Linked DNA regions of Alligator mississippiensis. The protein of the gene in region 3 interacts with the protein of the main gene of each other region in a pairwise test. Links are inferred from orthologs where the notes say so. Each region holds a gene or a part of one and is shown on either strand. Other genes may lie near its edges. The genes, in order: ABITRAM, AEBP2 and HMBOX1.

Evidence for each region.
Region 1: the proteins of HMBOX1 (region 3) and ABITRAM interact in binary tests that used the Homo sapiens proteins (3 or more experiments, as listed by UniProt). The two-hybrid records come from large-scale screens. The link is inferred for Alligator mississippiensis from reciprocal best matches to the Homo sapiens genes HMBOX1 and ABITRAM.
Region 2: the proteins of HMBOX1 (region 3) and AEBP2 interact in binary tests that used the Homo sapiens proteins (3 or more experiments, as listed by UniProt). The two-hybrid records come from large-scale screens. The link is inferred for Alligator mississippiensis from reciprocal best matches to the Homo sapiens genes HMBOX1 and AEBP2.

What each region holds. Positions count from the first base shown.
Region 1 is NC_081826.1:145,410,501-145,420,541, reverse strand, and holds the start of ABITRAM (protein Abitram), read left to right. Parts: upstream 1-5,126; 5' UTR 5,127-5,177; coding exon 5,178-5,232; intron 5,233-5,381; coding exon 5,382-5,430; intron 5,431-10,041. UniProt on the Homo sapiens protein: Actin-binding protein that regulates actin polymerization, filopodia dynamics and increases the branching of proximal dendrites of developing neurons.
Region 2 is NC_081827.1:123,054,531-123,064,320, forward strand, and holds the start of AEBP2 (zinc finger protein AEBP2), read left to right. Parts: upstream 1-5,434; 5' UTR 5,435-5,519; coding exon 5,520-6,103; intron 6,104-9,790. UniProt on the Homo sapiens protein: Acts as an accessory subunit for the core Polycomb repressive complex 2 (PRC2), which mediates histone H3K27 (H3K27me3) trimethylation on chromatin leading to transcriptional repression of the affected target gene.
Region 3 is NC_081824.1:6,032,726-6,042,602, forward strand, and holds the start of HMBOX1 (homeobox-containing protein 1), read left to right. Parts: upstream 1-5,366; 5' UTR 5,367-5,385; coding exon 5,386-5,426; coding exon of another isoform or gene 5,427-5,437; intron 5,438-9,877. Other genes in the region: INTS9 (integrator complex subunit 9), read right to left, coding at 5,094-5,102. UniProt on the Homo sapiens protein: Binds directly to 5'-TTAGGG-3' repeats in telomeric DNA. Associates with the telomerase complex at sites of active telomere processing and positively regulates telomere elongation.

The DNA.
Region 1 (10,041 bases), on a different chromosome or scaffold from region 3:
ACAGGGGGAAGCCCTTGGGGATCAGGGGGGAAGCCTGGAATGGGAGTGGGGGAGATTCTTACCTTTCAGTTCTCCAGGTCCCTGCTTGCTGTTCCTAACTCGAGCTAGTACTGACACGAATCAACACTTGTGCAGCTCCCAGCATAAGGTGTAACAAGACCCTGACATTACGCAGAAGTCTATAAGGTGCCACCCTATCCTGCCTACCTGGTTCAGAAGCATGAGCTTTTATAGGTGGCAGCCTACTTCATCAGATAATGTAACCTGCAAAAGCTCAAGCTTCTTTCAACGAGTCCAGTATAGGCAAAAGGTAGGGCAGGGTAGCACTTTATAGACTTTTTTATTCTAGAGCAGTGGTTCCCCACCTTTAGACTCCAGGTGTCCCTCCAACTTTTGTGAACTGAGTGACACTTCATTTCTAAAACTTTTATTTTGGTGCCTACCTTCCTGTTAGGGATGTGAATGGTTAAATGATTAATCATTTAACCAATCAGCCAGTGATAACTGGTTCTAGCTAACTGGTCATGTTTTAACCTGAGGCTGGGTACAGTCTGGGGGGAAGAGGCGGAATGGAACCAGCAGGCTGCGGGGCAGGAGGGAGGGGGAGAGGAGCCAGGAGGGGAGGGGTGTGGTGATTAATACCTAGGCTCTGTGACCCTGGTGCAGCCACTTGCAGCCTCCCTGCTGCCTGCCATGAGCAGACCAGGTTCCAGGCAGGCTGCCAGAGCACAGGCTGCAAATGGGTTTACAGAGCCTAGCTATTGGGTATTAGTGACACCTCCCCCTCCCACCTGTTCTGCTGCAGCTGGGCCCAAGGAAGCTATGTGCTGGTGGCTGCAGTGGGCTGGTAAAGCCCTTCTCTGACTACTGCTGCCTGTGGCTTCCTAGGCTGTGCTCTGGCCCCCAACTCCCTGTGCCACTCGGCAGGTAGATGCAAACCCTCCTCCAAGGAAGAGTGGGACAGGCACCAGCCTGCAGCTCAGCACCCCTTAGTCTGACTTTGCAGAGCTGTGGGCTGGAGCCCAGTGTCACTATGCCTGTCCCCCATGCAGTGCCTTCTGCTGCTACAGCTGCTGCAGGTATGACAAGGACAAGATTGAGGTAAGCAGGTGCAGGGTGACTCCCCTGGGCCTCTGGCCCAGCCCCATGGCATGCCCCACCTGCCCCATCCATGCCCAAACTTGGGCTCAGAAAGGACCCACCAGCCTAGTTTGTTGTGGGGGCATTGCTGAGTTTATCACACCTGGTGGGGGCTGGAAGCCCCCCACTGGTGCTGGGTTTGGCAGGGGTGCCCTACAGGCCAGGCTGGAGGTTACCATAGTGAGTAAACCTGTTGTAATTGCAACAGGTTAAACGGATAGTTTTAAAATCAGTATTTACATCCCTACTTCCTGTACAGGGCCCAGGCAGTAGGAGGTGTGAGGAGGAGTGAGCCTCCATCTTCTCATACTGTTACTTATGCTATAGGTAACCTTGTGGGTAGGCTACTAATGAGAGACAGAAACAGGTCTACAGCCCAACTTTTTATCGGCTTTCACCTTAAAACATGAGAACAAACATTTATCTCAAAGTCTATCTGGCTACCCACAACAGCACAATGCTGATTCTCACCTATACCAACTGGGGAGATCTGAGAGTGGGGGGGGACACACAGATTGGTGGCAGGTCTTCTTGAATTCGCAGTTCTCCAAATTTCCCTCCAGCCCATGCCTAATACTTATAAATGGCTGGTTTTAAATGACCCCTGATTAGTTTTATTTAAATGTCCTTTTTTCACTGAAACTTTTGGAACTGGGCTGAACCAGATTTTTTATGGGCTTGGAAGGTGGCAATTTTTTGGGATTTATATCTTTGGGAAAGATGGAGGGTTTCTTATCACCTTTCCTTCTCCATTGTGGAATGCTGTTTCTTCTTTACCTTCCTTTATGCTCTTCTCTGAAAGGCTGTTTTTGTTTTTACAGATTATCTAAGCATCTTAACAGAAATATATCTATTACAGGAAAATAACATCTCATACACTTGGTTACATCAATCACTGTTGCTACAACTTTAAGATAAAGCTATGATGTAGCATATATGGATTATTAAATATATGGTCTTCTCTTACCTCCTTTTAGGCTCTGTAATTTGTTTAACTGTACTTGATGATTTCCTTTACTTCCTGACCAAGTTAGTTGTAACATGTGCAAAGGTTCACACTGCAGTTACTCAAAAGCATGTTTGGGGCCTTCTGCTTAGCAGCACTTCTGCAGCTTAGCCTAGGCCGCTTGAAAATGGCCAAGGCTAACAATAGTAGCCGGGACTGGGCTGTGTGTGTCAGAGAAGGGGCAGTGACCAGCCAGGCTGTGTGCGCTTAGCCCTTCACATCCACATCATCTGTAAGGATCTTTGCTCTAAACTGCTGTTAACACTCTATTGCAACTTCCTGACTTTTTCAACAAAGTGGCAGTGAACTACTTAGAGAACTGGAAATAAAATGGTAGTCTTGAAACTAAAATAAGAACAGTCACTGATGCGCCAAATCACTTAAGTTAACTGAGGAAGGAGGTTAAATATAGGAGAAACTCAAGTCTGACAACCAGGGGAAGTTTAAAAAAAACCAGTAACCTAACAATTTTCAGTTTCAAATCAGGTGGACAAAGCACTAGGAAATTTCATTTGCAAGGGAGATAGAATAGTCATGAGTACAGATGAGCTTTTCTCTCATTTTGTATCTAAATAAATTCATCAGTCAGTATTTCTTTAATCCGAACATGACTGAACAAAACTTACTCCTGTTTCAAATCGCCAGCCAGGGCAGAATTCTGAGCAAATGGATTCACTTGGATTCTGAGCAAATATCAGCTTTGGCTGGAATGGTATTTTGGATCATGGTAGATCAGTCTGTAAGAACTGCCATATTGAATTAGATCAGTGAAGCTCTGCTCTGGATCTTAGTCTTCAAAAACTTGTGGATGCATTTTTAGCTGCTCCATTGAAAATCATAGCAGAAGCTAAGTTATTCAGATTCTGTGGGAGTTGTACCTCTCTGCTAAAAACTCAAAGATTTAAACTGCAACTGTTGTGATCTGTAATCTTAGATTATTAAGAATGTGTGACTTTTTTTAAATACAGGAAAAATGATGGCCCATACTCACCAAAGGATAATTCTAAATATTGGCACCTTCAGCCATTTGACTCCTATTATTTCATTCACCTTGACATCTAAAGGAGAGCCCATTTCCAGTTGAAGAGCAAGGCTAATATGATATTAAAACATGCCACTCTCCAATTTACTCATCTAATCCAATGCAACAATAATTTTCGAATAAGTTTATTACTGTACACAAATCAAGGTTTTCATATGTACCCATCACAGGTTTTCTTTTTAGCTCTTAATGAAATAAGGACAGATGTTTCTTCTTGCTGTTCTGATTCTTTAAAGTTCTGTATTCTTGAAAGCTATACCAATGAATTTTCACTAATAATATAGAATACTAAAATACACAATACCCTGATAGTTTAGTATGTTAAAATAGGGGTTCTCAACCAAGGCCCTTGGCCATTATGTGTGGTAGGCTTAGAAAACCACCAGATGGCAGCTTCACTGGCTCCCTGTGCAGCTGTCTCCCAGATTAAAAGGTGACACTACAGGGAGCTGAGACTCCACACCCTATTAACTCAGATAATGAAATGAAAGGGAAGGTAGAATTTAAATCTATCACCCTCAAGAGAAGAATAGCATAGCTAGCAGGCAAGGGGTGGGGTGCAGAAGAAAACCAATGAGAGCTGATGCTGTTGTACCTTTATGAATATACAAGGAAGGGTGGGAAAACTGGAGAAGATGCAGAGATTGTGGTGTGGTACAACCAGCCAGCTGCTTTGATGCTGCAATGGTTTGCACTGTATTGCTCTGGGGTCAGTCTACCTCTGGAACTGCAAGGACTCTCACTGTTTCAAGGGAGCTCTGTCTGCTAGACACCATTTAGGGCCATATGAAAAGTGCAAAATGACACAATAGTCATTAGCATGTTCTAAGAATGATTGCCTCTAAGCCCCCCCTTGCCCAAAGGAAATGACCAATAGCTGTAAATAAATATTCTTGATTTAAAAGGAAACATCACTGTACCAGATCTGCATAACCTTTGCATTTCACATTCAATCTTTGACGCTAATGGGTAGGAGCTTACTACCATGCCCAGGCAAAATTCTTTTTATGCTGTAGGCTGCTTTTTCCTTCTCAGTCAGCCAGCCAGTGTGTGATGAATAGTTACACCCAGGATATCTCTGAGGGGTTTTATTCAAAGAAGTACAGGAGAAACCAAAGTAAGTTCCTCCAAACTATACGCTGGTTTGTTGGGGCATTATCAATTGGGCAACATTACCAACAGCAACTAAAAACAGCCGAGAACAGGTAGACATAGGCCTTGTGATTCGAGGCAAGTTGCAGACTCCCACCTCTCTGCTTTTGTGTGGGGGTTTTATCCCTTCAGGTTCAGATTTCTGTATTCCTGGCCATTCAAACTGTCCTAACCATCTTTTGGCAGATTGAGAAGGAGCAGGGAAACTGAGTCATTATCTGTGACCATTGGTTTTTCCTAGGGTTGCCTTAATAGCATTGGGTGTCAGAGGTAGGGGCCCGAGGGCCCTAGCCCCCCTTGGGAAGAGGGCTCAGCTGAAATGCCAACAATTTTCCACATATCCGTCACCTTAGCACCCCCAAATAAAAACTGGCGCCTACATAGTACGTTGGTTGTGACCCCAGGCCTGTGCCTCTCCTCTCTGTCGAAACTGTCCCCCACCATCCGCTTCTCACACTGCGATTCAGACTGAACCGCTCCTGGCGCCGGTGTCTGGGCGAGGCCTCCAGCACGGCAGAAAGCAGCGGGGGGGCGGGCCCGGGCTCCCAGCAATGTGCACATCTCTTGGGAAAAGCCACTGCATCACCTGGCAACACGCGTGAGCCCGGGCGCAGAGCTGCAGGTCCCCGGGGCCCGCCCCCTGTGCTCGTGCTGCTCTGGACCGGCGCCGGAAGCCGGCGAGCGCCTCAGCAGCAGTAGCAGCGGCACTTCCGCCTCTAACCCCGCCAGCCAATCAGAGGCTTCCGGTCCGCTTGCGTCAGTCCGCAGATGCGCCGGGCGGTGCGCGCATTGCTTGGCCCTGATTGGCTCCCTGTTCCTGAGGGGGGCGGGACGGCCATGGCTGCGGCTCCGGGCGTGACGGAGCGGTATTTCACGCGCTGGTACAAGACAGGTGGGTGCCCCCTCTCCCTCCTTTCTTCCCCCCCTCCTGGGCCTCGGGGTTGTTGCTGCGCCCGGGGGGTGCTGCGCGCGGCCTGGCCGGGTTTGGGGGGCCGGAGCGCGCCCGCCCGCTCACGAGGCCCGTGTCGCTGTTTCTTGCAGACGTGGGGCAGCCCCGCGAGGACTACTGCATCCTGCAGCACTCCAACAGGTGAGCACAGCCCCGCCCTGCACACGGCACGTGTATCGCACGCCACGCAATACATGTACAGCGGTCGCAGACGAAGTCATGACCCAAAGTGGGTGACCGGCGCAATAAATGCACGCCTGCCGCTTGTGCCAAGTCATTATCGCACAACAATACCATGTCATAAACGTAGACCAGCTGCATGGGCAAAGCCGTCATCGCACAACAAGTGGGTGAACCGCAGTTAATGGGCGAACTGCGTCAGAAACATAGAGCGGCTGCACGCACGAGTAAAGGCATTATTGTGCAACGCGCGGGTGACCCAGGCAATAAATGCACACCAACCACAGGTGCCAAGCCACTATCATGTTGTTTATGGGTGAATTGCAATTAATGGTTCATCTGTGCAGTAGATGTAGACTGGCCACGATGACGCAGTCAGTGGGGGGATTGTGCAGTAAGCACAGAGCGGCTGCACAGGCAAAGTTGTCATTGCACAATACAATGGGCTTTCCAGCTCAGCAAAGGCCCAGGTGGCTCTCGCGTGAGTGCTGGAGCACACGCGGCAGCTCCAGAGCTGGTTTCTGTTCGGCACAAGTCGGAGCAGGCCGCAGGGCAGGTACAGCCCCCACTTCACCAGCATGTGGGATGGGGAAGCAGAACAGTCTGTGTCCCTGAGTGCTGCTCAAGCTGTTCCCAGCGCTCCTGTCTGGTGTCCATAACAGGTCACAGTGACTGGTCCCATGTAGACAGTGGCATGGGAAGCACTAGGAAACACTGGGGTTCTTGTGTTTTGTTGACATTGTGAGTGGCGATTGGCATGAGACAGGTGAAGGTGCTCAACCTTTTAGTGCCACAGGCAAATGAGTGGCACTGGGATAGTCTGTGAGCCAGGTTGGGCCCTGGGGCCTGGCACTGCATTATCTCTGCCCCACACACCAAGAGTGGGCCTGAGGGGCCTGGCAACACCTCTTACTGCCCCTGATGCACCAGGTTGGGATCCTTGTGCTGCCCCTTCCCAGCCTCCCCCATGTGCCGGGATTGGTTCCCAGTGACACAACACTGTCCCCTCCCAGACCCCGCCACCAGGATTGGGCCCAGGGGTCCTACAGTGCCCTCTCCTGGCCTGGCATGCTGGGATTGAGCACCCATCAGAGCTGTCTCTAGGGGTGTGCTGCGCCTTGGGTATACCAGCCTGTTTGGGGCTGGGGGGTGGCGAGCGGCTGTAGCACACGACGGGGTGGAGGCGAGCAGCTGCAGCTGGTGGGGGAGGGGGCATGGTGAGCGGCTGCAGCGCAGAGTTGGTGACGCACAGCAGGGCCTGTACAGCACTGTCCACGTCCCCCAAAACATGAGGCCTGGGGTGGTTGCCCTGATTCACCCCCTGCTAGGGATGGCTTTGGTGCCCATCCAGCAGGTAGGGCTTGGGGGCTTCCCTTGGATCCAGAGATTTGGCATCAGGGGAGCAGGGCCACCACTCCCTTGTTGCCAAATTTCCAGACTCCTGGGGAGTCCTGCAGGCTGGATGGCACTGTGGCAGAAGCCGGATCTAGGGCTTGAGCACCCCTGGGTTAAGGAGGTAAATCACTTTGTTACGTAAGTCTCATTTTGAAACTCTGCCTTTGAATAAGTAAGTGCCTCCTGTAACTATCAGTATTGAACAGATCGCTTCCCACTTTGATGTGTAATTTTGCTTTGGCAGTAGCATTCACTCACTCAGCAGCTCTGTATGCTTATCCGGATTTGTTTCTGTATAATCTAGCAGCTAAAGGCCAGGCCCACTCTGGGGCTTAGTTATTACAGGGCTTGGTTTCACAGCACCTAGCTTTTGAGTGCCAGGCCTCGCGGCTGCAGACTGGTACTAGGCACAACACCTAGGGGGGGTTGGGGGAAATTCACAGCATCCATTGTGCCAAATGGGACGCAGCAGAAGTAAGTCAGCAGGAGATACTGACAACAGATGTGTTACTTGAATCCCACCGGTCTCTGGGGCATAAGCACTTCATCACTACCAGGAGCTAACCCTCTCCACTTAGCCTGTACAGCTTGAGCCTCCTCGTAGAAGGAGGAGCCTAGATCCTTGTTTGGCCTTTGAAAGAAAGGATTACATTTTTATATCTTTTTAAAATGTCTGGAGGACAATATGCCTATTCCTTTTCTATGCAGTTGCACAGTGGTTAGAGCACTTATGATGTGGGAGACCCTGGTTCAAATCCCTCTTCCGCCTGAGAGGATTCAAACCCTCACTTCCCACTTCTCACAAGAATACCCTAATCTTCATGGCATAGACTGTTCTGTGTGTGGATACTCTTGCTCTGGTGTTGAAGTTGTGCCACTGTTCTGAAAAGGGTCCAAGATGGTTGGACCAGAGCAAGTGTGGGCCTTATTCTATAGCCTAGTGGTTAAAGCCTTTACCTGGGAAAGAAGAACCCTCATCCCACTTCCTGTTCTAAGGACTCTCCATATTTATTCAAGGTGGAACAGCTTCAGTAGGAGCAGTGAATATGCTCCATACCCCAAAATAATTTATACCCTGGTGGTTACCGTGCTCTTTGGGGAGGCAGGAGATGTGGGGTTGAATCTTGTCAGTGAGAAGAGGGGATTTAACTCAAGTCTTCCACACCCAGGGTTAGGCACTCTGAACACTGTACTTTTGAATAAAAAAGGGGCTGCTGCTATATCACTTCCTTCTGCGTTTTCAATGGAAGCAGTGGCTGCTACTGGATTTTCTGTGGAGTGCAATTCACTAGGCATGAGGTAGGCATTCTTGGAGCATACGTAACAATAACACTTTTGGGCACAGTTGACAGAGAAACACCTAGTTTATGGATCCCAGCAGGTCTTCAGTATGAGAGAAGTGCTGGGCTGCTCTGCTCTGTCCAGACTTTAGTCCCATATAGACTAAGGAGTAGATGGCAGCTGAGCAGAGGTTTTGCAGATTTAAATTTTAGACTTAGGCACCTAAAACAGGATCAAGCCTTTTTTTAGGTCTAGCCATACATTTTCATCTGTTAATCTTGCATTCCTCTTAGATGGGACAAAAGTGGATCAGACTGAATTTGCATTCTCAACACTAAGTTTTAGCTTTCAAGGGGTTGCACAGGTATCACTGAAAACCTTCTTTGGTCTGCAGAGCCAGTCCTACTATCAGTTATGCATAAGAAGGAAAGGGAGGCTCACTCGAGTTTCAGAATCAAGGTTTGCAGGGTTGCTAGTTCATTATAAAGCATACCTTTTTTTTTTTTTTTTAAATATAGATATCCCAGAAATATCACAGTGTTCTAGCAACTATTTATTTAGCAGCTTAAACAGACGAAAAAGGCTGTAGTGAAACTTCTGAAATACTTTCCAATTTTTCAATATGAATTGAGAAGCTGTATAATCCCTGGGACACAAGTAACTCCATATGAAGACCTATAAGTGATGCCTATCAGCACATGAAAATAAATACTACATACAGAAAAATAGGAAACCAGTAGCATTTTCAGAAAAAAAACACATTTCTGGTGTACTACTATGCCAGTTCTGGTTATGATGAGAAGTATTTAAGTTAATGTATACTAAGTGAAAAATGAGTCCTGCAAAGGTGCGATGATACTGTGTGTGGCCTGCTTTGTTTGAGGCTAGCTAGGTTGTGTCTTTTTTTTTTTCCTTGGGGGTTTTTTGTTTGTTTGTTTGCACTGCCACTTTTCAAGCATTAGAAAATCCGGTCCTTTGTACCATAAACGTCTTGATCTTGTGCCATCCTAGCATCATAAGGGACCAGATTGGAAAGTATCAAGCACATCTTAGAACTGTAATATAAGCAGATAAGAGATTGCAGTGCTGTGTGTTTATTCTTTTAAGTGTAAAATAAGTATTTAGGGGGAAAAGCTATTTTGCTTTACTGTTTGTTTCTCTTCCCTCTTCCTTTAATGATTTCACAATAGACATCTCTCAAGCCCTCCAGTAGAAGCTAGGATGAGCAGATTTTTGACATCCCTTATCATTTTTTAAGTAAAAGAAGAAATTTAAAATGTACGTATAAAAACCCCTCACTTCTTTAGGCTTGAGAAACAAGAATGAAGAACAGAAGTTGCCCCCTTCAGAAGAAACATTTAACAGCTGTTGAAAACTCTTGTTCTTTGTATTCTTGCCACTCTGATCTTTCTTTCAGCATTTTAATGTCTAGTGGGATAATTAAGAATAGAAAAGCCATATTTCAGACTGACACTTCTACAGAGGATTAAAAACCCATAGAAATACTCATGTCTTTTTATAATCAGATTAGATGGTATTTATTCCTACTTCTAAACTCTGTTTTTTGTGACTTTCTGCAGTGTGTGCAAACATCATAAATTCACATCTGTGCTGTTTATTTGCTTTCTGTACAATACTGGGTGGTAACAGCTTCTCCAAACTTGCATTTTTATATTCTTCTTCTGAATAACTTTTTTACTTGCCAGGGACAAACATTGCATTATATTAGATGCTTGTTGTAAAAGATACACTCACCATGATAAACTGCATTTGAAAATTTGTTACAGGCACCACATACTACTTAAAGTTAACAAATTGACTTTTGGGTTCCTTTTATTTTAGGTTCTGATAGCACTTTGCATCCAGTCATTTTGTACAGGTTTCTTTTGGTGGCTA
Region 2 (9,790 bases), on a different chromosome or scaffold from region 3:
CACCTGACAACTGGAGTAGTTTCACCAGCAATGTCCACTGAGATGGCACATGCACTCTGGGTATCCACCTGCCCCAGTGCCAAGAGCAAAGAGTGGCACAATTCCTTTACACCCTCTGCGGCTATCAGACAGAACTCTAAGGCACCTACATCTCCATTCAATTTTACAGAAATCTTTGGAAATAGTTGAACATATTGACTCTGGTTTGCAATAGTTTCACCCAGGATACCTTGCTCATCGATCAGATTTTGGTAGTTTACCTACTTTACTAAGTGGTTTTCCTTTTTATATCTTGTGGGGGATTGCTTCCAGGTACCATACTTTAGGGACATTTTATCTTAAGTTGTCCATCTTAAACATTTTATCACCTGTGATGGGGCAATATCAATTAATGGGCACATTAAAAAGCTTTTTTTATCGGGGGGGGGGTATGTAATATATCACCCCCATCCCCATCCCCTGCCAAAAAACCCACACACTGCTCCATGTGTAAGTCCTAAAGGACTCAGTTTAAGGTGTGCCTTTTGCCTTCATTTTTTATAAGATCACTCTATACAATGCCCTCAGGTGTGACATGCTCCACCTGAGTCCAGAGGTGCTTCCTTCAAGTACTAGGTCCAACAAGATCAGACAAAGCCACCTGGCTACATGTCCTCTATTCCTGGATGATGTATTTGATCCAATCCATACTTTTTCCTGGATGGCTTCAAGCACTTTAATTTCAGTATCTGTTCAGATGTATAATCTGATCTCTTCAAATACTGGTGGGTTAGATCCAAGAAGGCTATTGTCATTCTTCACGACTCCATACCTGGATGTTTGATTTCACCTGTCAGTGAAGACCTTTTAGAGTTGGCAAAATGTATTTAGTACTTGGCAAATACCAACCACAGTAATACCAAGCTCTAAAAAGGCAGATACAAAGTACCAGGCAGCATTTGTCAGTTTTATTCAGCACCTGTCTTGTTAGTGAATCTCACAGCTGATTAAAGGAGTAGGTAGCAACAGACAAAGATGACTCCCAGAGGAAAAGAATCTTAGTAGCTCAATTTATTAGGATGTTAGTGTTACACCTCTGCCAATGCAGTTCTGGATTGCTATTTATCAACCATTCCTGGCAGAATATGTCTTTCTTGCAAAACTCCCACAGAAAAGCAGAGAGGAGTTAAATATATAACTTGTGTGAGAGAAATCGGATCCCTTCAGGAAGCTCTACATGGTTCTGATATTGCCTCATTTCAGAGTGATGCCCATCATCCAGACTCCAAAGTTTGGGTGTTTCCCCAAGAGGTGCAGTGGTGCATTTTCTCTTCCAGGGCCTAGACTGGTTTAGTGCAAAAACTCTATTTCCACGTTATCCCGACCTGTTATTTCTAAAAGGTTTCTGACCCCTGCTTTAGCAAATAGGGGTTCTACTTCTAGTAGGATATAATAAATGGGTCTTTTCTGCCAATCTGACCTTTTCTGAAGTTCAAGGAAGTTGGGTACTCATGGTCACAGCCCACTGCCCTATAATATTAAATGCTTCCTTTCATAAGAGCAAGAAGTGCCATAGTGGGTCCAACCAGTGGCCCATCTAGCCCAGTATCCTGCCTCTGACAGAGGCAGAAGTGGATGCCATATAAAGAGAGCATCAAACCAGGTATCTCTAGGGTGATATATCCCCTATGCAATATCCTCTCTGGCATCTAACATTTATGGGCTAGAGATGCCAGAGGTAACATCTCCAACCATTCTGTACAATAGCCATTAATTGAACTATCATCCATGAATTCATCCAGTCCCTTTTTGAACCTGACTATGCTATCTGCGCCTCCACCACCTCCTACCGCAACTACACGTTATATAAAAAATTACTTTTTCTTCATGTTTATATACTGATTTGTATGAGAAAGTAAGAAAGACCAGAAGCTTTTACTCTAAGCTAGTGATTCTCAGAGTGCAAGGGCTGAGAAGTGAAGTGATGTAGGAGATAAGAAAATAAAGGCAGGCTCAGGCTCTCCCTGACTGGCCATTCCTCCACCACCAGGCCCTATGTGCAAGGAGGTATGCACTGTAATAAACAAATGAGTTATTTAAAATGGGGTATGGCTCAATTTAGAAATGTAATGGAGGGTCCCATGAGTCTACAAAGGTAAGAACCACTGCTCTAGGCAAGGATAATCACTAGGAAACTACAACCACCTTAGAGCCTCCTGGAAACAAAAGTGAAAAAAAAAAAAGGAAACAGTCATCGTTTGCTACATCCTCATCCCATATTGCAACTATAAAAAATAATTATTTGGATTGTTTAGACTACACTTTATACCCATTTATTCCACCAATTAGGGAACTGCCATCTCCACTGGACATTAATGTGGTACTTACAGACTTAATGAGCTTCCTATTTGAATGCCTGACATCCTGTTTCTTGTTCATTTATCTATGAAGACATCCTTTTGAGCTGCAATGACATCAGTCAAAATAAGGGGGGAAATGCAGGCTCTCACAGCTGGCTTTTCTTATGCAACACTGCAGAAGGATAAGGTCTGAGTAGGTACTCACATGCCTACAGTAATCACAGATTTTCCTTTGAGCCACATGATTCTTTAATTCATATTTCCCCCTAAACCTATATTGAGCAGGGGGTAGCTAGGCCACATACTTTAAATAGTTTTGGGGAAACTCTGAAAAAAAATGGTTCTTTACAGATGAAAGGATAAGGTTTTGAGACTATTAATAACATTTGCTGACTGAATGAAAGGTTAAGTAATACCAGCCCACAGTATACCCAAATACGTACTAGAATCCATTAGGCCCTGTGATGAGCTACCTACTTTAGATCTACCTGCTCAGCTCAAGGTTTGCTTCACCAGGGCTGAGGCAGCTTCAGTAGCTCCCATCCAAAGCATACTCATTTGAGACATCTGCAGGGCAGCTGCTCAGGCTTCATACAATACTTGAAATAAGCCTCAAGATACAAGTGCCTTTACTGCAATATCTGCTTAAGTAGTTTCTCTACATACCGTCTTGTATTAGATTCCTGCTTGTGACATCCCAAAAGTGGAATATATAGGGACACCAGCTCAAAGGAATAACAAAATTAACTTATCCCATTGTAAATGGAATCCTTTGAGATGTGTTTTTGTGTATTCTATAGCCTGCCCTCCTCATTCCTTGCTACTGTTGGTACTGCAATGGTGAAGAAACTGAGTGTTGTTTGGGCCTGCACTACTCTTTATTTGCAATTGGTGGGATCAGAAGGAAACTCAGGAAATGTACACGTCCTCAAGGAAGGCTGCAGGCCAAAGGATTGTGCTCTTGAACTCCTGGGGCACCAAAAGTAAACTGCATAGACAGCACATCTCAAGGAAATCCAGGTACTTAACCTTTCATTCCCCATTCGTTCCTGTTTGCTTCCTTAGAATAGATGTTAGAAGCAATTTTTTATGTAAGTACACTAAGTAATTCTGATTTATCATGACCTAGCATCCACCCTTTTCTGTTCCGTTCCTGGATCACAATCCATGGATCGGCTAAAGTGTTGAAGGTAGGGAAGCACGGCTCTAAAGTGGCACTATAGCCACCTTTATCTATAGCTATTGGCCACTGCAGTATGACAACTGGCTCATTTTTTTTAACCCTAACTCAGAACTGAGCAATAAAAATCAGTTGCATACCAGTAAAAAAAATCTGCATTGCATCTTTTTCTCCGTAAAGAGAAAAAGGAAGCATATAACAAGTACTTTATCTCATAGCAAGGGCATAAGTTTTTTAATGTCCGCTCTGATAGAGTTGGCCATTTGAAGATGTGTGTGTTAACAAGAATAATGCAAAGGCTGCAACTTTCTTATTCCCAAACCTTGTTTTCAGGCATACTTCATACTTTCCCACCAACTCCATATTCTAGCAATGAAGAACGTGGTCTCAGCCTGGGCCAAATGTTTTTTCAAAAGCCAAACATGCCATTTATAGCCCTCTAAATTTGCTTACATGGTTCTCTAGGGGGAAGATGTAGTTGGTTTGTTTTCAGATTTGATATCCCTTTTTTTCAGCATATTGACTGTCTTGGTGTTTCCTGTTTTGATGTTGCTATGGTATGATGTTACTGCTAATGGATCCATGGGCAATTGCTGGGGTGAGTTCATCTCCGTGTGTTGGGACTGTCTCAGGCCCAGGCCAAGTAACTTTCGATTGGGGGTTTGGGATCCTTCCAGGCAGGACAGAAACAACCAGGAGTTGCTAGAATGGGAGGTTCTGCTGATTTTTCTCTCATGGCCTGATATTTTTCTGTCAGGGGAGTGGTGTCTGGTCCTGGGCCTTGCATTTAGCATTTTTATTGTATGGCACACTGTGTGGGACGAAGCATGTTAGCATTGGCGGCCTTGGTGACCCAGGCAAGGAACCAACAGGCCCAACAGTTCTCAACCATTTCCGCACAAGACACCCTCTCTAGGCTCAGGGCGTCCCTCGGCAACGCAACGCGGGCTTGCAGCTTTCATTCCTTTCCTGATTGCAGAAACACAGGAGAGTGATACTTCTGTGGCAAAGAACTGAGAGAGGCCACAACCGAGCAGCCTCGCCCTGTGGTGCCTGGCTAGGCTGTCCCAGGTGCCACAGGGCGAGGTGTGCACACACAGGCTTTGGAAGGATTTCACGCAGGGGAACCCCAGCACTGAGAGAGGCCATGAGGGAGCTGCCTGCACTTAACACTTTGTTTTTTAAGGAAAAATGTTCATGTTCCAAGCCAAATCGATTCCAAATCCGCGAGTCATTCCAGAATCAAACGTGGCACTGCTCCACCCCTGCCTGGGGCTTCAGATGCTTCTCAATCCTTTGATGGGCATCCTCTGTGCAGGCCTGGCAGCTTGGGGTTCAGGTGCCCCCGAGTTCCCCTTGCCCTCGGGGGCATGGCTGCAGGAGCACGTGCAGGAGGAGTCGGCATGTAGCCAAGATCTGCCCGCTGGATTATCTCCATCAGGATACTACCCCCTGCCAAGAAAGTGGTTTTCCCCTACAACTAGGAAAACCACCTTCATGGTTATGGTATTCCCCTGCCAGGTAAGTACCGGGGGGCTTCCCCGTGTGAAAGCCTCGCCCTGTGGCACCCCGTGGCACATGGGACAGGCACCCCAGGGTGAGGCTGCTGCGCTGGCCACCACGGCTGCTCCACAGGCGCAGGGGGCACCACGTGAGTAGCCCAGGGGCACTGGGCGAGTCCACAACAGGAGCCGCGCAACTTCCCTCCCGTGTGTGCGCAATGCAGCGCTCCATCTACTTCTGCCCCCTCCCCTTTCGCACTTGGAACAGCCCGTCCTATGCAGAAGCCTCGTTCTCGCTTCCCCTCCTCCGCGGGCGCCAGGCGCTGCCCCCCCCCCCTCCTCCAACGGCTCTATTTTGTCCCCGGGCGCGCTCCGTAGCGCGTGCGGCGGCCCCTCCCTCTGCGGCTGCCCGGCGCGGCGGTAGCAGGAGGACAGGCGCACACGCACGCACGTACACGGGCGGGGACACGCACGCACGCACGGCGGCTCGGAGGCGCCATGGCGGCTGCTCGCAGCGACATGGCGGAGCTGGAGGGGCCGCTGCCCGGCCAGGCGGCTGAGGAGGAGGCTGGAGCGGAGGCCGGCGGCGGGGCTGGAGTCGGGGCGGGCCCGCGGGCGGTGCTGCTGCTGCTGGGCGGCGAGGCGGAGAGCATGTCGGAGCGCAGCCCGGGCAGCGCGAGCCAGGCGGGCGACGAGGAGGAAGAGGACGAGGAGGAGGAGGGCGGCGAGGAGGAGGAGAGGAGTAGCCTGGCGGGTAGCAGCAGCGGCTGCTGCAGCGACGAGACGCGCTCGCTCAGCCCCGGCGGCAGCAGCGAGGCGGACGCCAAGGATGAGCCCAAGGGCCCGCGGGGTGGGCAGGCAGCAGGGCCGGGCCGCGGCGGCGCGGGGGGCTGCGGGGCCGGCGGCAGCAGCAGCAGTAGTAGTAGCAGTAGTAGCAGCAGCGTGTCGAGCGGCGCGGACGAGGGCTACGGCACGGGTGGCGGCGGCAGCAGCAGCTGCAGTGCCACGTCGGGTGGCCGCCGCGGCAGCCTGGAGATGTCGTCGGACGGGGAGCCGCTCAGCCGCATGGACTCGGAGGACAGGTGGGTTCAACGGAGGGACCGCCCTGCCCGTCAGCCACAGGTTCCACCTTCCCCCCCCCCCCCCCCCCCCCCCCCCCGATCGGCCACCGAGAGAAGGGGCCGGGCAGCTCTGCTGTTGCAAACACCTCGGTTCGTGGCGTTTGTAAGGCTGCCGAGTTCCACTACACCCCTCTGGTGGGGTTCGTGTCTGCTCACCTAAGGGCCGGGTGTATGCTGTGCGGCACCCTAGAAAGGGTCCGCAGGCACCCTGGGGTACTTCATGTTGTCCCATTGTGTTCTCCCCCATACACAGGGTTGAGAATTGCCAGGAGAAGTGTAAAAGTCATTTGTCCCTTCAGCTTCTGGGGGACGAAGAGCCTCCTGCATATGATTTTGTCACTGGCTGGGTTTCGTGACCCTGAACAGGACAGTTACTGATTTATACAGGTGTAAAAATCTACTTGGTCCTAAAGGTTGTGCTTCTCCCCCCCCCCCCCAAAAGGGTTGGACAGATTGGGTTGGGTTTGGGGCTTCTCAGCCTCTTGTAGGCTAGGATCAAGTGTAGTGAATCTTGAAATGCAGCCCCCTGGATTTATTTACTTATTTATGTTTTGGAAGCCCTTCAGTCTGGTACCTACAGGAGGCTTTTGTAAGCATAGCTTAATAGAAGGTGGATACTTGCATTGTAAAGTTTCATAGTTTTTCCGGGGTGCTGTTGTTTTGTTTTGTTTATTTGTTTTAAGTTAACCTGTCTCTGAAGTTGTACTTCCCATTGCAGTACAGCTAGTGTGTTGTAATAGTCTAAGGTGAAATGTTAAACGTTAAACTGAGTTTATTTTGATGCGTTCTGTCAGTTTCAGTATAAATGTCTAGGTCCTACAGAGAGGAAGTAGCAACCTGGCTGTAACACTTCTCTTAGAGAATTTTAATGTACTTGCTCTAACACATGCTGCCTTCCATTACATGGGAAAACCTTTCCACATATTTTTTTCTCACTAAAAAGTATGTAGGCAGTTTTGTTCCTTCTTATTATTTCCCCCCCTTAACTCTAGTGTGGGTTAAGAATACATGTAGCTGTTACCTTTAGAAAACCATTCCTCAATTTTATATCTGGCTATATAATATGTATACAATTGGATCTATTCAGAAAAATAATTGAGTTCCATACACTATAAAAGTTCTTATCCATTTATATGAAGTTTTCTAAATGAGCAATTAATTTCATGTGTAATGTAGAGTTTACTTTAACCACTGTCTGTGTAATCTAAACTGGTAAAGTACACAACCTATATAGGGATTTTTTCATAGTTGGGTTCTAAGATTTATTTGAAAATATAGTAAAGCTGTGTTTTTCACTACTCTGAATTTGTTAGGGTTTTCTGGGATGTTAAAATTGCAGATGTGTAGGAGGCTTCAATGCGCAACCCCAAGTGTTCATGAGCTGTGTAACAAGTGCCCCCAAACAGATTTTTAAATCAAGTGACTTGATCTAAAAATCATTACACTTTTATAGAGAGAGAGAAGAGATATTTTATTATTATTATTATTATTATTTCTTTCTTTGGGTTCAACTTTTATGTTGGTCAGATTATCAACCTTTTCTCTGCAACCCTAAGGCTTAGAAACATTTTTTTTTTAAGTGAAAGATGAGACTTTATGAAATCCTGTGTCTTTAAGAGAGAGTCTCTCTGCTAGATGTGCCATAAACTTGTGAAGATTGGCAGTTGCAAGTACGCATTTTTTCTTCTCATCTAAATCAGATCATATATTCGGGTGGCTTAGTCCTTGAAATATTAGACTAGAAGAGGGGAGCTCGCTAACCTGTGGGGCTCAACCCAAAAAAGTAGTTGGGTTAGGATAGGAGAGCAATAGAAAAAAATGGCAGAGTTTCTCTTAAACAATTTACCTATTATCTGGTGGGACTTGTGGGAACCCCAACTTTCTCGCTATTTCTTTTTGTGTGTGTCTGTTTTCATGTTCTGAGATGGCCGTGCATCTAAATCTGTGCATGCAGTTTTCTGCACCCACTCATAGCACCCTTGTTGCTTTTTTTCAGATTCAGTCACAGGAGTAGGGGCCCCAGAGACAAGGTGTGGCAGGGGCTGTTCTGTTCTGTGATGCCTGTGAAGTGCTCTACAGAAAGTACACTTTCCCCAACACAGCATAACTTCTGTTTTGGTTTTGGTTTCCTCTGGATTTTTGGGTTGGTAGTAGTAGTTTTTGTAATTAGAGTGCTCTTTTACCATTTATTCTTGGTAAAAGTTGCAAAATGTGTTTTTTGTATCCGTGCCTTACCACAGCATGTGCTCACTTCCAGATTATATTATTATTAAAGTGAAATCTACATGGGGTTTCACCTTTTCTTTTCAATAATTGCAACTCCAGCAGATGTAGCATTTTGCTTATTAAATGGTGTTTCACAAAGAGAAGCATGTTATGCTTTGCTCAGGGATTGAGTTAGTACTAAAGGTTAAGGCTTTCACCCATGAATCGCTAAATGGGTTGAATTCTGGTTGTTTTGGAGATAACATCTTACATAGTATGATTTAGAGAGAGAGGGACTGAACTGGGGTGCCCAAATTAACAGCCCTTAAGTTAAGGAGAAGTGGCTAAATGGAAGGGCATTCTTGATGAGGCATAGTCTGTCATGCTTTCTGTAAGTAGGTTTGGTAATGCTCAGATCATGCTCTGAGTGGCGTTCCCTCCCCTGCCCCCTGCTTTCCTTTTGGAGAACTAATGAAAAGAAGGATGTGGTGGGACAGAGTAGGCTGGTGTTGGAGTTCTTAGTCCTGACATTCATTAGTATTGATCACAATTACAAAAAGTACCAAAATAGTGAATTTATTTACTATAGATAGAGGATGAAAAATCTAAAATTTTGAATATTTGGCGCTCTTGTATTTAACTGAATCTTTCTTGCAGAAGCAGTATGTGCCTAAATTATTAAATAGGTGACTCACCTGTTTCTTCCAACACTAACATTTTTATGGATCTTGACAAAATCACAGATTAGAAAAGAACAGCAGATCCTGGGTGTATTAAGTGTTGTGAAAATTACTCTGTAGAATGCAGGCACTTTGAAACAGGCTAACTATGGCTCAAAATGTGTTTTGTTATTTTTTTAATTTTTTTTTAATATTTATTTCTAGGAATAGAGAGTTCCCTGAATGTACTTTTGAGGTCCTACTGCATTTCTTCCTCCCCCCTCCACCCCCCCCCAAAAAAGAAGGCATTAATAACTTATTACCTAAAAGAATTGGTCTCACTTCAAGATTATTTTTTTGATGGTTGACTCTCTGTTTTTCATTGCCACTAATTTTGAGAGGGTACATACTTGCTGATCTCAATTGTCAAATAGCTAAACTGATACCCTTCTCAAAGAATGTATAGACAGCTAGAAAGTAATTGCTTAGGACATGTCTTCACTTTTCATTCCTGGGAAGTTGTTTCAGTACTCCCTTCTACTCAAAGACCCCTGACCTGAGCTTGATGTTGTCAGTTTAGGCTAGCTGTTGCATTTAGGGCTGTAAGACAGAGCTCAGGTAGCTCTTTCAATTGGGGCTGCTAATGCTTCAATTTTGTAACAAAGACAAAGGCTTAACCATGCAAGTGTTGACAGTCTTTTGGTGCTTCCATACAATTTCTGTAGAATTTCTGGAAGGACAAAGAAGTTCTCCCACAATTAACTGGAAAAAAATACAGCAGTTT
Region 3 (9,877 bases):
CAAGTTTGCTATGGGGAGAAGTGGACACGCCGGAGGGCAGGGAACAGCTGCAGGCAGACCTGGATAGGTTGCACAAGTGGGCAGAAAACAACACGATGCAGTTCAACAAGGAGAAATGCAAAGTGCTGCACCTAGGGAGGAAAAATGTCCAGCACACCTACAGCCTAGGGAAGGACCTGCTGGGTGGCACAGAGGTGGAAAGGGATCTTGGAGTCCTAGTGGACTCCAAGATGAACATGAGCCGGCAGTGTGACGAAGCCATCAGAAAAGCCAATGGCACTTTATCGTGCATCAGCTGATGCATGACGAACAGGTCCAGGGAGGTGATACTTCCCCTCTATCGGGCGCTGGTCAGACCGCAGTTGGAGTACTGCGTGCAATTCTGGGCGCCGCAATTCAAGAGGGATGCGGATAACCTGGAGAGGGTCCAGAGAAGGGCCACTCGTATGGTCAAGGGCCTGCAGACCAAGCCCTACAAGGAGAGACTAGAGAAACTGGACCTTTTCAGCCTCCGCAAGAGAAGGCTGAGAGGCGACCTTGTGGCTGCCTATAAGTTCATCACGGGGGCACAGAAGGGAATTGGTGAGGATTTATTCACCAAGGCGCCCCTGGGGGTTACAAGAAACAATGGCCACAAGCTAGCAGAGAGCACATTTAGACTGGACATTAGGAAGAACTTCTTCACAGTTCGAGTGGCTAAGGTCTGGAACGGGCTCCCAAGGGAGGTGGTGCTCTCCCCTCCCCTGGGGGTCTTCAAGAGGAGGTTAGACGAGTATCTAGCTGGGGTCATCTAGACCCAGCACTCTTTCCTGCTTATGCAGGGGGTCGAACTCGATGATCTATTGAGGTCCCTTCCAACCCTAACATCTATGAATCTATGAATCAGGGTGGCACTTTATAGACTAACTCATTCAGAGAGGCATGAGCTTTCAGAGGCTACAGCTTAGCTCATCGGGTACTAATCCATTAATAGGTCACGGTTCTCTGAATGAGTTAGTCTATAAGGTGCCACCCTGCCCTGCTTTCTGCATAAGATATTAAAATACACTATAAAGGGAAGCATTCTCTGATGGTGAACTACTACCTACAAGTAGTGGGGTACTGTTATATCAGATTGAGGAATGAGAGGGGACACATGTAGATTAATCCTTTGCATAATGATTAAGCGTCAGTGGTTTTCAACCTATGGCTCGTGGACCCCTGGGGGGGGCCAAAGACGATATCTAAGGGGTCTGCGAAAGATGACAATCAAAAGTATGTGAATAACCACGCTTACAATTCAAAGGGGTCTGCAGCTCCATTCGAATTTTTTTAGGGGTCCCTAGATGAAAGAGGTTTAAAAACCACTGATCAATGTGTTACAAGTATATAATCAGATACCAACAATTTCCTTTAGAGGGTTCCTATATTTCTTTGGGTGCTGGGTATGACCATAAACTGCATCCAACTGGCAGGCTGGGTGCTAATGTTGCGGGGCTACTCATGGTGGGGTAACTCCAGTAAAATACCCCAATGTTGCAACCTCGAGGGTAAGGCAAGTATAGGGTGCCTCAAAACCCTAGCTTCAACTGCCTTGTGGGTACTCCTTGGCTGGAGAAAGGCTAAGGGAGATCACACTGACAAATGCACCCTCACTGAGGCACTAGGCAGTCAGCAACAGGTCTTATCTGTTGCTGTCTGGCAGAAACTACCGCCCTTGAGGCACTGAACATCTGAACTCGGTCTGGCCTTTGGATTCTGTCTCAACGGTCTAAAGTGGGGATGGCAGGCTTTGGGCAGCCCCCATACTCTCACTTAGGAATATGCATTGAAGGCCTTGGTGTGATGATCATAGACCTCTTACATGAATACAACATGATCCAGAGGATGGACAGTTGCCTATTATTATATTTCTCTGAAATTAAACTGGTAACTCTACTCCAGGCTCTGCCGTCAAAGGAGTGCGTGCACTGGATAAGCTCCTTAGGTTATGCAGGTATTTTTAAGAAGTACAGTAAAGGCCTCATTATCTGGCATGAGCAGAGAACAGGGGGTGCCAGAAATCTAAAAATACCGGTTACCTGAAGTACGGAGGTTGCTGGCCAGACGCAGAGCCGGGGCAGGTGGGGGTGGCGGCAGCCAGATGTGGAGTGGGGAGGTGGCAGCAGTTACATGTGGAGCAGCAACAGCAGCAGGGTTCAGCGCGGAGCAAAGCTCGGCACAGCAGAGCAATGGCAGTGCAGGGCAGCCCACGCGGAGCGGCCGTGGCAGCTGCCGTGTGCGAGCTTTCCCCTGCGTCCGGCCGGCCAGAAATTCCAGTTAACAGAGTATTCTGGCTAGTTAAATGTCAGATAGCAGAGATTTTACTGTACTGAGTGCCAACCTATGCCATCTACACCTTCCTCAGACAAAGGTACTCAACACCTGTGGAAGTCAGCCCAACCTTTCTTTGCCTGAGGAAAAGAAAAGCTACAGATTGTCCCTGTACGCTGGGACATGACAGTCCGAGCCGGAGGGAGGAAAACTTGGTAAAGTGGCTACAAAGAATGATAACTAAAATAATTGAAATGGAAGGCACCTTAAGAGGTCTTCTAAATGAATCCTCTGCTCAAAGCAGGATCCTCTAAACCAGTGACCCAAGGGGTGATTTCAAGGGGTGCCTTGAAATCCTATCGGGGGGGCACACAACACTAGCACTGTTAGGTGTACAAACATGATTCACATGATGAACCAGGGTGGACAAAAATCAATGATTTTTTTTAATTAAAAGTTGAATTTTTTTATTTAAATCAGATTTTTCTGATTGAATCATATCGATTTTTTTCTTACGATTTTTAAAAAATAAACCTACATAAAAATAGTTTAAACTTAAGATATGTTAGAGCTCAAAGATATCATCATGGAATAGGGATTATAACTTCTAATTATATACTATTTGAAACAATATATTCATGTAACCTTTTTAGAGAAGCTTTATAAATAGGTCAAAACAGGCCATAGACTATATTAGGGTCCAATCTTATGGGGTTCCCAAAGGATTCTCCAATGATTAGTAAGGATTAAAGAAAACTATTCTACCCAGTGGAACTCAGTGCTCAGTCTAGAAAATCCCATTAAGCATCTCTGTGATGTTTAGTTTCAGTTCTCAGACTGTGGATTTGTCTCTCCAGAGGTAACACCCCTGTTAACAGCAGTACACAGAGATGAGAGAGAACCGACCCAATTACCTACGGATCAGCCCTCTTGTCTCGGCAAGTTTGTGTATGCAGAGTCAAGCTTTTGCCCCACTCTAAAAGTGCAAAGTTTCAAAAAGTTAAATGAATAAAGGATTGTTGGGGGTGGAGTAGATCTGGGCAAGGAGGAAGAGTCTAGACATAATGCAAGGACGGGATGGCAATAGAAACAAAAGAAACATTTTTAGCAGAATATTCCAAAAGTCTTGAGGAATAAGTTTCTGAGTATAGCTTCTTCACTAATTTGAGATCTAGCGAGGGAATGATATGGTAGAAGGGAAAACCTATCATGGCAGCAGGCTGGCCAAGCCATAAAAGAGACCCAGGTTGGGAATATTTTAATGAAGGTTATATCAAACATCAAGAATGCACTTTTTGTAGAAAATAATGATTAAAATTGAGGGTTCTTGATTTAAAACAACTGTATTTAAATCAAAACCACCCTCTGATGAACCTAGAAATTTCAAATAGGAATCCTTGGGTTAAACACATTTAGATCTGTTATGATCTTTCTGAGTTCTTTGCATCAAAAAACCCGCTCTATGATTTTTCCATAGTTAAAAATGTGTGAACAACAAAACTGCCATTTACAGAATGACATCATAGGTCCAATTGCCCAGGCTCTTGTGTCATGGGGCAGCAGAGAGCAGATGCTGAAAGGGAGAGTGAACAAGGCATGATAAGGGATTTTTCCCACTCTTCCTCTCACTTGCAGCCTCCAGGCATTTTCTGAGGGGTGCCCCATGTCTAACAAGGTTGAGAATCAACCTCTAAAATTGTCTAACATGCATTTAAAAAAAAAACCAAAAAAACCCCACTTTCCAGCACCAGAGGTTTTGCAGCCTTTTCAGGTCACCTCTTCCAGTGCTCAACCAGCCTCGCAGTTAGAAAGTTCTTCCTAACATCTAACCTATATCTCCTGTGTTGCACGTCAGAGGCCATTACTTCTTGTCCTGTAAACAAAGACAACAGTTGATGGCCGTCTGCTTTACGACAGCCCTGGGCATATCTGAACAGAGTTATCTACTGCAAAAGAAGAGCGGTTACAAAGAGGAGGGCGATCAGGACTGGGTTATCTGACTAGACAGTGTTATATCAGAGCTTTCCTCCCCATAAGTTTCTCTAGTGCCCTGTAAACTCAGGTGGAAATCGATGCTCAGCTGCTCCCAGCACTGAGCAGAGACGCTCACCAACCTGCCGTGCCCTCCGCAGCCCCAGCTCCCTGCCCAAGATGCACCTCCAACACTTCCCTCCTAAACTGCCCCCCCAGACCCAAGATGCCCCTACATCATCCCCCCAAACTGCCCCCAGCGCCACCCCAGATGAAATGCCCCTCCACTGCCACCCAAGAACTTCACCCAGTGTCAAACCGGTCCCAAGATACCCCTCCACCACCCCCAAAAACTGCCCCCAGTGCCACCCCAGCCCCAAGATGCCCCTCTACTATCCCCCAAAATTGCCCCCAGGGCCACCCCAACAAACTACTTCAGTGCCACCCCAGCCTCAAGATACCCTTCCACCATCCCCCAAAACCACCCCAGCCTCCAAACACCCCTTTCCCTCAAAAAACCACCCGAGCCCCAAAATACCCCTCCACCATCCCCCCAAACCACCCCAGTGCCACCCCAGCCCCCATATACCCCTCCCCCAAAACGGCCACGCTCCTCCCCCGCCCCCCCGGTGCACACAAGCCTGTTTGGGGCCTTAATACAGGCATGAACCCCCAGCCTAGGCCCCTCCTGTGCCTCAGTTTCCCCATGTGCAGGACGGGGCCCTCCAGCAAGGTGGGGAGGGGGAGCAGGGGCCAAGGCTGAGGCTCCCCAGGACACAGGAGGGGGAAGGACAAGAGAGCCCCCCCCCGGCCTGCACCGCCCCACTCACCAGCTTCATGCTGCCGGCCTCTTCCCCCCTGCCCCTTCCTGCCCTGCCTCTTCCCCCTCCCAGCGCGCGGGGCACGCTGGGACCTGTAGTCCCTCCCCGCCTCCTCAGCCGGCGGATGAGGTCATGCCCGGGAGGCATGCCGGGAGCTGTAGTCGGCCGGCCGCGCTCCCTGATTGGCGGGCCGCGGGGCACGCCGGGAGTTGCAGTCCGCGGGCCGCCCGCCGTCCGCCGCCCTGGGGAGCGGCGAACTACAAGTCCCAGGGCCGCGGCGCGGCGGCAGGTGGGCGCTCGGATGTTGATATCAACATGGCGCTCGTCAGGCAGACAAAGACGGTCCGTCTGGGGTGAGCCCTGAAAGGGGGTGTGAGGGGGAGGGAGGGGTTGCCTGTGTATCCTCCTCACTTCGTATTTCGGGGGGGCTGAGGGGGTGGCACCCCTTCACTGTATGTGGTGGGGATCCCCTCGTGTGTCTGGGGTTGGGGGTCGCAACCCTTCACTCTGCGTGCGTGTGTGTGTATGTGTGTGTGTGTGTGTGTGTGTGCGTGCGTGTGTGCGGGGGGGGGTCTGTGTGTGTCTCCTTGTTACTTTGTAAATTTTTTTTTGGGGGGGGGGGCTGGGGGGTGAAGCCCCTACGTGGTTGTGTCTGGGGCTTGGGGTGTGAGGAAAGGTTGGGGGGGCAAATCCCTTCATGGGTCTGGGATTGGGGGGGTGGGGGTTAAATCCCTTCTTGGGTTTGGGACTTGGGAGGGGGGGGTTAAATCCCTTTGTGGGTCTGGGATGGGGGGGGTTAAATGCCTTCGTGGGTCTGGGAATTGGGGGGGCAGGGGTTAAATCCCTTCGTGGGTCTGGGCCTGGGGGGGGGGGGCGTTAAATCCCTTCATGGGTTTGGGACTTGTGCGGGGCGTTTAAATGCCATCATGGGTTTGGGACTGGGGGGGGGGGGTTAAATCCCTTCATGGGTTTGGGACTTGTGGGGGGCGTTTAAATGCCATCATGGGTTTGGGACTGGGGGGGGGGGTTTAAATCCCTTCATGGGTTTGGGACTTGTGGGGGGGGGGTTAAGTCCCTTTGTGGGTCTGGGACATGGGGTGTGAGGAGAGGCTGGGGCGGGTGGTGAAATCCCTTCCTGGCGCGTGTCCGGGATGCTGGGTGTGAGGAGAGGCTGGAGGGGTGAAATCCCTTCCTGTGTCCGGGACTTCGGGTGTGAGGAGAGGTGGCGGGGGGTGAAATCACTTCACGTGCCCGGGACGTGGGGTGTAGGGCAAGGCTGGTGCGCGTCCGGGATGCTGGGTGTGAGGAGAAACGGGGGGGCAGCGTCCCCTCGTATTTCAGGGGGAGGTTGGGGCTGGGAAGAGGGTGAAACTCCCTCCTTCTCTATGTCCAGGTTGGAGAGGGGTGAGGGGGGCAGCGTCTGCCTTCGTACGCTCATGACTTTGTTTTTCAGGGGGAGACTGGGGCTGGGAGAAGGAGAAATCCCTTCCCCACATGTGGAGCATGAGGAGACATTGGGCGGAGGGTGGGGGGATGTTTGCCTTCATATCCTCATGACTTGGTATTTTAGGGAGAGGCTGGGGCTTGGGAAATCTCTTCTCCCTGCACATCTGGGATGTGTGGGGCCCTGAAACTGCCCTAGGGAAGAGTGGCTGCTGCTGCTGGGGGCGGTGGGAGGGAGGAAAATGCCGCATGGCTGCTCTTTTTTTTTTTTTTTTTTTCTTTTTTTATCCTGGCCCTATGCTTTTTTGGCTTTGCCGCGGAGTTAGAATAATACCGGCTGGGAGTCGCGTCTTCCTTCAGGAACTGCGAAACGCAGGAGCCCGGCAGAGCTTTTTGCCCCCTCTGTGTTGGCCGGTGGGTTTATTGGTGGGAAGTGGCAGTTAGAAGTGTCGCTGAATCCATCTGCAGGGCATTTCTTTGGAAACAGTTTCTGCAGCAGCTCCGTTTCTCTCTGGCTTCTGGCCCTTTGGCGGTGGGTGATGCTTTCCCCAACCCCCTTCACATGGGGGAGGGGGAGGATGCCTTTTTTTGGCGGGGGGAAGCTTGCTTGTGCGGGGGTGATATTTCCAAGTCGCTGAAGTCGGGTATATTTTGGTTGCTTCTGGAGTTTTTTGTGGCATCGAGGGAAGTGCAAAATCTATACCAACTGAAAGCTGTGGGTTTTAACCTGGGGAAGGAAGTGTTAAACTGATGGGCAGAGTCGTGATGTGAGAACAGCGAGTCTGATGGGCACTGGCCGAGTGCCCCAGAGGCCAGAGGGGATAGTGGAGAAGGACCCAGTGAAAGGGATGACATTTGCATGGTTTGACACCCCAGAAAATAAAATTGTCATATAAACGGTTTGTGCTAAGCAGACAACTTTTGGGCTTGCAAAATCCTGGAGTGGCTGTCTGGGTCCTGTGATATAGCTAACTCATTTCTGCAGGGCTCATCAGGTGCAAGAGCCTCTCTCTGCTTCCTTCCTCGGATGGTGCAGCTGGCATCTGATTTCCTCCATAGATGGGAGAGGAGGAGCCCAGTGCAGTTTTTTTTTTTTTTGTTTTTTTTTTCCCCCCTGAGATGATTGCATTTTCTTTGGCCTTGCCGTACCCTGCCTCATTAGTAGGAACTGCCTTTCTCTTTATTTATCTAACATTAGGCCAGGCTCACAGGGATGCTGGTGAGAGGGGAGTGGGTGTATGTGGATATATAACTCTGAAGACTTTTCTTTAGTCGCTGTAAGATCATGCTGGGGTATGGTCCTGCAACAGCAGACCGTAAACTTTGTTTATTTGTGTGCGTCTTGACTCTCCTTCTGCTCTTTCAGCTCCAAATCCTTAAGGAGAAGGTAGGGAGGCAGAAGGTGTGTGGGGTGGGGAGAGGGCAGAAGGTGTGTGGGGTGGGGAGCAGTACATTACATGTACTGATATTTTGAACTTTTTTAGCTTCAGGCAGATTTATATTTCTGGTTGTGAAAATTATCTGCTGTCTCTGTGTCCTCAGAGCTCTGGGTTCTCTGAGGTGGGACAATTCTGCTCAAACTAAAGTGAAATGCTTGCATCTGGGGATGCCGTGTCCCCTTCTGACACACAAGTTCTTCGTCTTTAACCCTGAGTCAGGCACAGCTTTCTGTACAGACAGAATTGTCTAGCGGGCTGAGCATGGGATCAGGAACAAGGACGTGGTGTTTAACTCTGCTGTGCCTGTTCTCTTAATCTTCCTCCCATTCTGTTAGCACTGTTGCTAGCAGTCAGCCATCAGCATTTTTAATCCTGTGTCATCTACCTCCGTTCAGAGCAGGTCTAGACGACATTGTAGCATGTGGGCTGCCAGGCATTCTTCCTGGGCATGAAACTGCAATGTTGCCAGAGAATTGGTGGGAAATTCTCAGAAAATCCTAGGTAGCTGAGACATTCCTCTTTCTCCCACTAATTTTGGCAAGTTGCTTCAGTCTTGAAAGCATATTCCGTTGTACAAGCACAACTATAATAGTTTGTGCCTACATGGCCACCTGGTAACGAGCTCCCGTTGTGCTAGATGCTCTGCAGAGTGGACATGGACCCTTCCTGCTCAGAGAAGTTTACCCTATGCCTGTTTCCATGTCTGTCATGCAAGGATTTCTTCTGCTCTCCTTCAGAGAGGTGGGGCCAGCAAATGTCTGAGCAGTGCTTGGAAAATGAAATCCCAAGTGTTCCCTGATGCACTCATTTTGTCATGATAATGAAGTGGCATATGCGTAAGTTCAGGGAGGAGTTTGAATTGTTCTCTGCCTTTGTTTCGGGAGCTAAGGAAACCCTGGGACTAAAGAAATTCAAGTTTCTGTAGTGAAATGCACTTGTTCTGCTAACACTTTAGCCAGTGTGTGCCTTATGCAGTCTGGACCTTCAGTGTGCAGTTCTGGGGAGTGGGGAAGACTCTAGATAAGTGTGTGTGGTGGGAGCTGGGGGAATGAATATTATTCTGATGCAAGAAACAGTTTAACTTAAAGCATGCTGATGCCTCCCTTCCATAAACAGGGATTTTTGAAGATTGCCTTTTATGCTAACAGCTACTGGTTGCATGAGAGATTCCTGAGTGTAGTCCTTTCTGTGCAGCGCTCATAGGGTTTTGAATGCAGGATCAGAGCAGTTTATGGGCATGTTCTTCACCTTCAGGGAACTTCAGGATTTGGAGTCAATCAGGTTAAAAAATGCTGTCAGCGTAAAAATCTTATTGCAGCAGAACAGATAACTTTACCTGTCTTACAGATAACTTAATGCAGTTTGTTTGTTGTCTGGGCTGCTCCCAGCTGGGATGCTTTTATAGTCAGTGCAGTCAATGTCACTTTACATTGATTTTAATGCAGCTTCACGCTGGCTCTGGTAACCACCTACAACTCCTTGTGGGATTGGGCCTTTAGTTTATACATGTCCTGATGGTATTACCTTGTGTGTTCACATAAGTGTCATATTACTGACAAGGTTTTTGGTTGATTTTTGTGGGGGGGGGGGGGAGAGGGTCTTTTAAACTATATGCCTCTTAAGTTGATTTGGTAATGGAGTATTCAGTCAAGAGCTGGAAACTGTAATTCATTGCCCCTGTATAAACGAGTGCAGTAACCCAGGAGATATCAAGACTAGGCACTGTGTTATGCACCTAGTTAGAGACCTGAAAAATGATAGTAAAAGGCCTTGATTCTGCAAAGAAAGTTTATTTTCTACCAATGGGGACTTTTTACCACCTTTAATTTTCCCTGAGCCTGAGGAAGGGTGTGTGTGCCCAAAAGCTTGCAGAAAAAAGATATTTTTTTTGCAATTTTTTAGTTGGTTTAA